Linked DNA regions of Sus scrofa. The protein of the gene in region 1 purifies or fractionates together with the protein of each later gene. This does not show direct contact. Links are inferred from orthologs where the notes say so. Each region holds a gene or a part of one and is shown in the gene's direction. Other genes may lie near its edges.

The links. The genes of interacting proteins can lie anywhere in the genome.
Region 2: the proteins of GNAI3 (region 1) and RIC8A purify together in Homo sapiens (affinity purification with mass spectrometry; 3 studies listed by BioGRID and IntAct, counting the BioPlex papers as one, with this or other methods). This does not show direct contact. The link is inferred for Sus scrofa from reciprocal best matches to the Homo sapiens genes GNAI3 and RIC8A.

Annotation. Positions count from the first base shown.
Region 1 is NC_010446.5:110,540,738-110,544,784, reverse strand, and holds part of GNAI3 (guanine nucleotide-binding protein G(k) subunit alpha), read left to right. Parts: intron 1-1,073; coding exon 1,074-1,202; intron 1,203-4,047. UniProt on the Homo sapiens protein: Heterotrimeric guanine nucleotide-binding proteins (G proteins) function as transducers downstream of G protein-coupled receptors (GPCRs) in numerous signaling cascades.
Region 2 is NC_010444.4:30,648-34,978, forward strand, and holds the start of RIC8A (synembryn-A), read left to right. Parts: upstream 1-1,523; 5' UTR 1,524-1,646; coding exon 1,647-1,730; intron 1,731-2,005; coding exon 2,006-2,053; intron 2,054-2,139; coding exon 2,140-2,730; intron 2,731-3,208; coding exon 3,209-3,300; intron 3,301-3,772; coding exon 3,773-3,923; intron 3,924-4,331.

The DNA of each region.
Region 1 (4,047 bases):
TTATAGAGGTTTTTTTTTTTTTTATAATTGTTTATCTAAGCTTGATCAGTTCCTTAACATTAATGATTGTTCTTAATTTTATAGAAGATCATTAATGATTCACTTATAATGCTATCACCTATTCTTAAAAAAAATCTTTAGGAACCCTGAAATCGTGAAAAATTTAGTTTAGCTTTGAAGCAGTTTTTAAACTATTTTACTGATCAAGTGAAGTTTCTTTGGAGGTATTTACAATTAGTTTTTGGCATAGGTTTTTTTTTTTTTTTTTTTTTTTTTTTTTTTTGTCTTTTGTTATTGTTGCTATTTCTTGGGCCGCTCCCGCGGCATATGGAGGTTCCCAGGCTAGGGATTGAATCGGAGCTGTAGCCACCGGCCTACGCCAGAGCCACAGCAACGCAGGATCCGAGCCGCGTCTGCAACCTACACCACAGCTCCCGGCAACGCCGGATCATTAACCCACTGAGCAAGGGCAGGGACCGAACCCGCAACCTCATGGTTCCTAGTCGGGTTCGTTAACCACTGCGCCACGACGGGAACTCCGGCATAGGTTTTTAAAAAATTAAACCTACAGCTTTTTTTTTTTCTTGAGTGAAAACAGGAGATACTCATTCTTATTGAGCTTAGTTCTTTTTAATTCTAGTAATCCAGATAGCTATTTTCTAATGTCCTAGCAAATGTTTAAACATACGAATGACCCATTAACTTTAAATGTCTGAAGGCTTTTGTTTTGGTTAGGGTTTTATAAGTAGGCTGTGCCTAGTTGACTTAATATTAAATTTCAGGGATCTTTAATAAGAATAGCATTTCCATGTTGTTTTAAATTGGCTTTCACAGTTTAATTTTGGTAAAATTAAAACCACTTTATTGTAGTGTATATAAAAACTACTTTAATTGTCCTATGTTTGGTTCACTTTTTCCTCATTATTTCTATGATATTGAAGATCTGATTTGTTCTGCCACTTTAGTGACAGATTCGGAATTCACTTTTGGCAAGGAATGAGTTTAGTCTATGGACTTGCTGTGTGTATGGTTGGCTTTACTAAATAAAATAAATTTGTATTTTACTTATTTAGTTACCTAAATGATTTGGATAGAATATCCCAAACCAACTACATTCCAACTCAGCAAGATGTCCTGCGGACAAGAGTGAAGACCACAGGCATTGTGGAGACACACTTCACTTTCAAAGACCTGTACTTCAAGTAAGTCCTTAGCCTCTTCCTAGATGTATCTTTGCTCTAGTTAGTCTCTTCATCAGGGTAACATTTTTCTAGGCAGTATTCCTTGATTTAGAAACTTATGTTCATCAGCCAGTATTTGACTATTTTAAGTGTCAATGTAAACATTTCTTCTTTCTTTAAATAGCATCAAATATTTTTGTCCATTTGCAGGAATTTAAATTCAAAATGAAACTGTAACTTACATGTCAATAAAAGTAATCACATGGTTACCAATTTATTTTATTTTTAATTTTATTCTTTTCAGCTGCTTTTTTGTTGGAATCACCAAAACAGGTATTGAATGTTTGTTGTTTAGAAGGGTAACAACAATACTAAAAAGATAGAAAACCAGTGTTTTGGTTTAATTATGTGGCTTTGTTCTGGCATTTTGATGTTAAAGTAGAAGTGCTTTTTATCAGGGTCAGTCATTTCTTGGATCACACTTTAAGTTTAATGGGACGGTGCTAATATTGTCGTGGCCTTTGGTTTGTACACAGTAAGTATTATGCACAACCAGCTTCCTAATACAGTGCAGAATGAATATTGATCTGGGGCTAGAGGTATTTTGGAGAGGCATGATGACATGTAAACAATTATTGTTATAGAGAGAGAAAATTCTTGTATTCTAATGCAGTGGATTTTCTCATCAGCATTAGTAATTCTAGCTTCAGCTTGTCTCTGCGTCAACAGTCTTATGTAAATAATAGAACTGTCTTTATGGTTCCTGTCTTCTGCTTTTGTGACCTTTGAGGTTAGGAGTAAACTTTTCCCCTTCAGTGTATGATGTCCTTTTTAGCTGCTTCATTATGCTTGTATGTAGAATGCGATATTCAGCACTGTTGCATGCAAATGTAACTTCTAGCTCAGATTCTCTATTTTCTCTTGAAAAAAATTGCTTCGTGGGATTTGCAAAATTCACACAGACTTTAGGTATTATTAAATACTAGTTGAGGTCTTAAAATCTTAATACACCAAAACAGATTTGAAAATTGATACAGGAAAATAGCAGTTCAGCTGAATATTTTTAGAATAGAGGAACCGCTTATACTGATGAATTTATTTAATAAAAGTAGCAAAGGCTCCATAAATCATCACCCAAGAAACTGAAAGAATGAGATATCTCTTTGTGTGCTATAAGGTTAGTAATCCATTTATAATTATATGTTGTGACTTTTATTTATTTAGTGTGGGAAACTTTTTTGTTGATGTCATAGATTGATCTTTAGGTAGGTAAATCCTGTTGGTCTTTTTATGTCAGGATAAATAGCCAGATCTAATTAAGGTGCTGCACCCACTTTATTGCTGGCATATAGATATCTGTTATGAAGTACTATCATTTCTTCCTTTTCCTCTTCTCTCTAGGCAAAACCACTATCCATTTATTCAAACATTTATTGAGCATCTCCTATATGCAAGGCATTGTGTAATTGCTTACTTGCCTCTCAGTTATGAGGTAATGTTTATAAAATGTTGATCTGTTAGTGAATGATACTGTAAATGTTAATATGTGTGGAAAGCCCACCTTGGGAACTTCACAGGGTTCAGTTTTATGGACTTTATAGAAAAAAATGGAGAAGCAAAATGAAATTAATGGTGTACCAGTATGTGTCTCCCCTTGAAAGATCCGTGGCGAAATATATAATCTTAGCTTTCCTAAAACCTATATATGGTATGACCTTGTATTAGAACCAGTTTATGAGTGCCTCATTCCGGGTGTCAGGACTAAAGGTTGAAAAGAACTGCGTAAGATCAGCCAAAAGAAAAAGTTGGGTCATGGAGAGATGAGATGACTATTCTTTTTCAAACATACATTGAGAAATTATTCAACAGTGTCTTATTTCTCTCACTCTCTAAGGAGAAAATTCTCTGGCAATAGACTCCTAGTCACTATAGATCTGGTACAATGAACCAGCTTGGCAGAGTTTACACTTAAAACATTTTATGATTGTCATCAAACATATGTCTTAAGAGTAGCTAATCATTTGTATGCATACCTCCTAGTACTAGTTAAAAGACAAAGCAGTGCAGGTCCTCCTCTTACTCTAGATGGTAGATGAGGACACTGCTGACAGAAGTTCAGCAGCTGATTCCTAATAGCAAGTAAGCGCCCCCCACCCTGAAGGGAATAGTGGACTAACACTAACCTCGAGTGGAACATAAAGTGCGTGAACAATTGAAGCTTTGTTGTTATTGATTAGGTTAAAATAAAACTTGGAGTTAGAAAATACGGTTTAAGTTTTGGGTTTAGATATTAGGTTCTTAGAGTCTTATCCTAAAATATAATTTACTTTTTTCCATAATCTCTAAAACGTTTTCCTTAAAGTAAGAAAAATGTATTTCAATTATATCTCAATTAAAAAAAAAAGGGAAAACAAACTTTTGAATCTGGAAGCAGAAAGCAAGTTGGGGATTTATATTTTTTCATTGTTCTTTTTTTTTATTAGAGAGATAAACCATTTTGAAAGGCAGAGTGGTGTGATGGGTAAGAGTTGGTTACTGGAGTTAGAGTTCCAGTCCCCATTTGTTAGTAGTGTGCTCTTAGGTAAATTATTTAACATCTTTGTGCCTCAGTTTCTTCATCTGGGATAGTAACAGTACTAACGGGAGTGTTATGAGGGTTAAATGAGTTAATGTACTTCAGGATGTTTAGGATAGTGTCTGGCACCAGTAAACACTCAAACAGTAGTTATTATGGTTACTACCTCGAGTTTTATCATTCATCTCTTTATTTTTCTGGTCTTTTTTCCCTCCTTTCATTAATCCATTTCAGTGCTTACTCTACTGACTTTTGGTATGTATGATACAAGTTTTTGGTAATGAGGAAGCT
Region 2 (4,331 bases), on another chromosome or scaffold:
GACGGAGAAGAACTGACGTTTCCTCCACCGCCTGCCTTGTGAACAGGGCCGCTGGTTCGCTCCTGGGACTGCTGGAAGGTTATCGTTTTTAATAGCATCATGGTGCCGACAGACAATTCCGCGGCCATTCCTGCCGAAGGCGGTGTCAAATCCTAACTGGAAAGAGCTCACGGCCCTTTCTCAGGCGAGAGAGGCTCCTCGCGGCGACACGGCCCGGGGTCCGAGGCCCGCCCGGCTGCGGTGCGGTTAAGGCGAGGACTCGGTGTGAAGCACGCTCCAGATGCTGCCGGCGGGATAAAGAGGGGATCAGTGCCTGGAACAAGCGAGCGCTGCAAAAATCTCAGGGATGAAGCACTTGAAGGAAAACGGGAAATCAGGAAGAAGAGTGGGAGCGTGAGGGGAGTTAGGGGCAGGAGGAGCCGGTGCTGCGACCTTGCACCCGGGCACTGACAAGGGGTCTGGCACAAAATAGATGCTCAACAAAGGCTTGTTGCGCAGTGGGTGGAGTATATGTTATTCACCCACTGTAATGGAGCATTCACTCTGTGTCGTTTAGTGCTGACAACCCACCGAAATGGGACCTTTTATCATCTCTGCTTTTCAAAAGAGGGAACTGGGTCCAGGCCAGAAGATGTGTCTGCTTACACAGCCAGGAAGTCCCTGCACATGATCAGGCTTTGCCTTCATCCTGACCTGGACCTTCCCTCCCCACTCTCCCCTGTCTCTCAGCCCCAACAATGATCTCTTTCTCCTACAACGGCCATTCCCACCTTTACTCTGCCGGCTCCTTCGGCCTTGAATGAACTTCCCCCACATCCCTTCCTGGCTCACTTCTTCCTCTGGTCTCAGCAAAAGCGACACTTATTCAAATCCCCTTGGAGCCCATCAGGCCCCTTTTTCAATCACAGCACTATGACTGCTTAAAGTCTTCCCGTTTTCCCGTTTTTGTTTTCACCTCTGCAATATAAGCTCCACGAAGGCAAGGACCTGTGGGTTCTGTTCACCCACATCCTGGTTCCTTGCATGCTGTAGGCCCTCAAACGCCTGCTTAATAAACAAAGTGGTCCCGGGGCTGCAAAGTCCTTTCCACTTCGTCTTTCCTCGGAACATCTCATTCGTTCTGTACATCAAGAGGGGTGTAGTGTGCGTGTAATAGCGGGGTGAGAAGCTAAGGCCCTCTCCCGTAGGGAATTCACTGCTCGGAGCCGGAGCGATTCAGGCCCGTGGTCGGATAACCACTGAGTCGGACACTGAAAGGCAACGTGACTAGACATCAAAGCCTTTAAATTCCCGAGGGCTCTTCTAGGCCTCTCCACTTTAAGGCGCGCGCAGCCCGGGCCCCCGCCCCGCGCGGCGCCGCGCGCAGCCCGGGCCCCCGCCCCGCGCGGCGCCGCGCGCAGCCCGGGCCCCCGCCCCGCGCGGCGCCGCGCGCAGCCCGGGCCCCCGCCCCGCGCGGCGCCGCGCGCAGCCCGGGCCCCCGCCCCGCGCGGCGCCGCGCGCAGCCCGGGCCCCCGCCCGCGCGGCGCCGCGCACGCCCCTTCCCGGCCTCCCCCGCGCGCCGAGCTAGGGCCGGGCGGGCCGTCTGGGGCCCAGAGCCTTGGAGCGAGGTACCTTCCGCTTCCTCGGGCCGGGGTCCCGGGAGCGCCATGGAGCCTCGGGCGGTAGTGGATGCTATAGAGACGGGGGAGGAGGACGTGGTTATGGAGGCTCTGCGCGCCTACAACCGGGAGGTGAGCGGGAGCTATGGACGTGGGACGCGCAGGGAGGAGGTGGGGCTGGGTGGGTCCCGCGCGCGTGGCCGGCGGGGAGGGTGTGAGTGGTGAGCGTGGCGGAAGGCTGAGGGTGTTGGCGAGCACGGCGGGGAGGGGCACCGAGTCTTTGAAGAGTTGCTGGGGGTGCCGTGGGGAAAGGGAGCCCTGTCTATTGAGAGCGGTGTCTGCGGCCTTGGAGCTCGGATTCTGCTTCGGTGGACCTGTGCCTCCTAATCTTCTGGGTCTGTTTGCAGAACTCCCAGAGCTTCACGTTTGACGATGCCCAACAGGAGGACAGGAAGGTGGGTGCTTATCAAGGGTAAAGGGGCAGGGACGGGTGGCCCAGGTAGAGGAGCCTGATGGAACCGCTCTATTCCCCTGCCCACAGAGACTGGCGGAGCTGCTGGTCTCAGTCCTGGAGCAGGGCTTGTCACCTTCCCGCCGAGTCATCTGGCTGCAGAGCATCCGCATCCTGTCGAGGGACCGCAGCTGCCTGGACTCGTTCACCAGCCGCCAGAGCCTGCAAGCGCTTGCCTGCTATGCTGGCATCTCTGCTTCGAAGGGGTCGTGTCCTGAGACTCTGGACATGGATGTTGTGCTCGAGTCCCTTAAGTGCCTGTGCAACCTCGTGCTGAGCAGCTCCGTGGCACAGGTGCTCGCCGCAGAGGCGGGGCTAGTGGTGAGGCTCGCAGAGCGAGTGAGACTGTACCGCCAGAGCAGCTTCCCGCATGACGTCCAGTTCTTTGACTTGCGCCTCCTCTTCTTGCTAACGGCGCTTCGCACTGATGTGCGCAGGCAGCTGTTTGAGGAGCTGCAGGGAGTGCACCTGCTGACCGAGGCACTGGAGCTGACGCTGGGAATGACCCCTGGAGAGGGACCCCCGGAACTCCTTCCTTCCCAGGAGACCGAACGGGCCATGGAGATCCTCAAAGTGCTTTTCAACATCACCTTCGACTCCATCAAGAGGGAGGTGGATGAGGTGAGGGCTGGCCTCAGCCTTCGGTTGGGCTTAACAACTAGGATGCTTCCGGGACCTGCCTCTCTGCCAGGTACCCTCAAGTTTCTGGGTGTCGGACCAGGAGGACATCTGCACAGCAGCGCTTGTCAGGAGGAGGCAGGGAGGTGCCCGTTCCGTATAAGGGCATCGAGGAATCAGAGCGCGTATCTGGCTCTTGCAACACCAGGAGTGCTGTGTGGTGTGGGGGCAGGCTGTAGGAGATTCTTCGGGGGGCGGGGGGCGAGAGCACAGAGTGACTTCATCCCAAAGGGACCTGTTGATGTCCCTAACCACGAGAGTGCTCTTAAGGTCACATAAGTGAGGCTGAGCAGCCAGGTGTGGTGGAGGAGATGCATGGCCTGCATGAGGTCTGGCCGTGGGCCAGGCAGTAGATGTTCAGCAGGCAGCAGTGGGGGTGAGTGGCACTTTCTCTCACAGGCACCCCTTTCTCTTTGGTCAGGAAGACACTGCACTTTACCGGCACCTGGGGACCCTGCTGCGGCACTGTGTGATGGTCACTGCTGCTGGAGACCGCACAGAGGAGTTCCACGGGTGAGGGTGGTGCCTGTTGGGCACACCGGGGCGGGCGTCTGCTCTCAGGTCTATATGGTGGTTTCCAGCCCTAAAGAGAGAGTTTTCATCCAACTGGGTGGGACCAGGCATTGGTGTGTTTCCACAGAGCTGCAGCACTTAGAACACACAGCTAGGACAAGAATTGTGAGCTCAGGACAGAATGTGCCACTGGACCTTGAACACTGTGGTATCCATAGAGCAGTGTGGTTGTCACTTTCATTTTCTGTGACCTATGCCTGGGCGGGTCCCAATTTGGACTACCTGTTGTTTCGACCCAGGTGTGTGGGAGGTGGGATGTCTGCAAGGAGGGCCTCCCTCTGCTCTGGTACTTGGTGCTACTCAGGCCCCTGATACTGGTTCGGGTCATGTGTGATCCCAGCAGGGGGCAACAAGAGTTGCGCCTGTGCTGGGGGCCTGGGTTTACCCAGCCCTCCTTTCCATGTGTCCCCAGCCACACAGTGAACCTCCTGGGGAACTTGCCCCTCAAGTGTCTGGATGTCCTTCTCACCCTGGAGCCACACGAAGGCTCCCTGGAGTTCCTGGGAGTGAACATGGATGTGATTCATGCCCTCCTCAGTTTCCTGGAGAAGCGTCTGCACCAGGTGGGCAGGAGGCCCTGCTATGGCTCTGGCCCAGGCTTTCCCAGGCAGCTGTGGGCGCTGCTTTTGTGCAGTCTGCACTGGTAAGGGGAGATCAGCTCCCCAGTGGGATTCAGGCAATGCCTCCAGCTGCTCCAAGGTCCAGCCAGGCAGGAAGCCAGAATGTCCTCCTTGAAATGTAGGCAGACTTTTTGATACAAACAGAAGCAGGTTTTCAGAGACTAGCAAAGTATTTGTTTTTAGGTCTCTTTGTGGATCTTCTTGAGGGGGACCAAGAAGCCGCTGGTCCCTGCTTGTGATGCTAGACTCGCAGTGTCGCTCTACACAAGCAGCTCTTGGTGATGAGCAGCGGCTGTCCTTTGGTCTCTCTAAAGGGACCCACAGGATCTTCCAGGCAGAGGCTCCCTGACT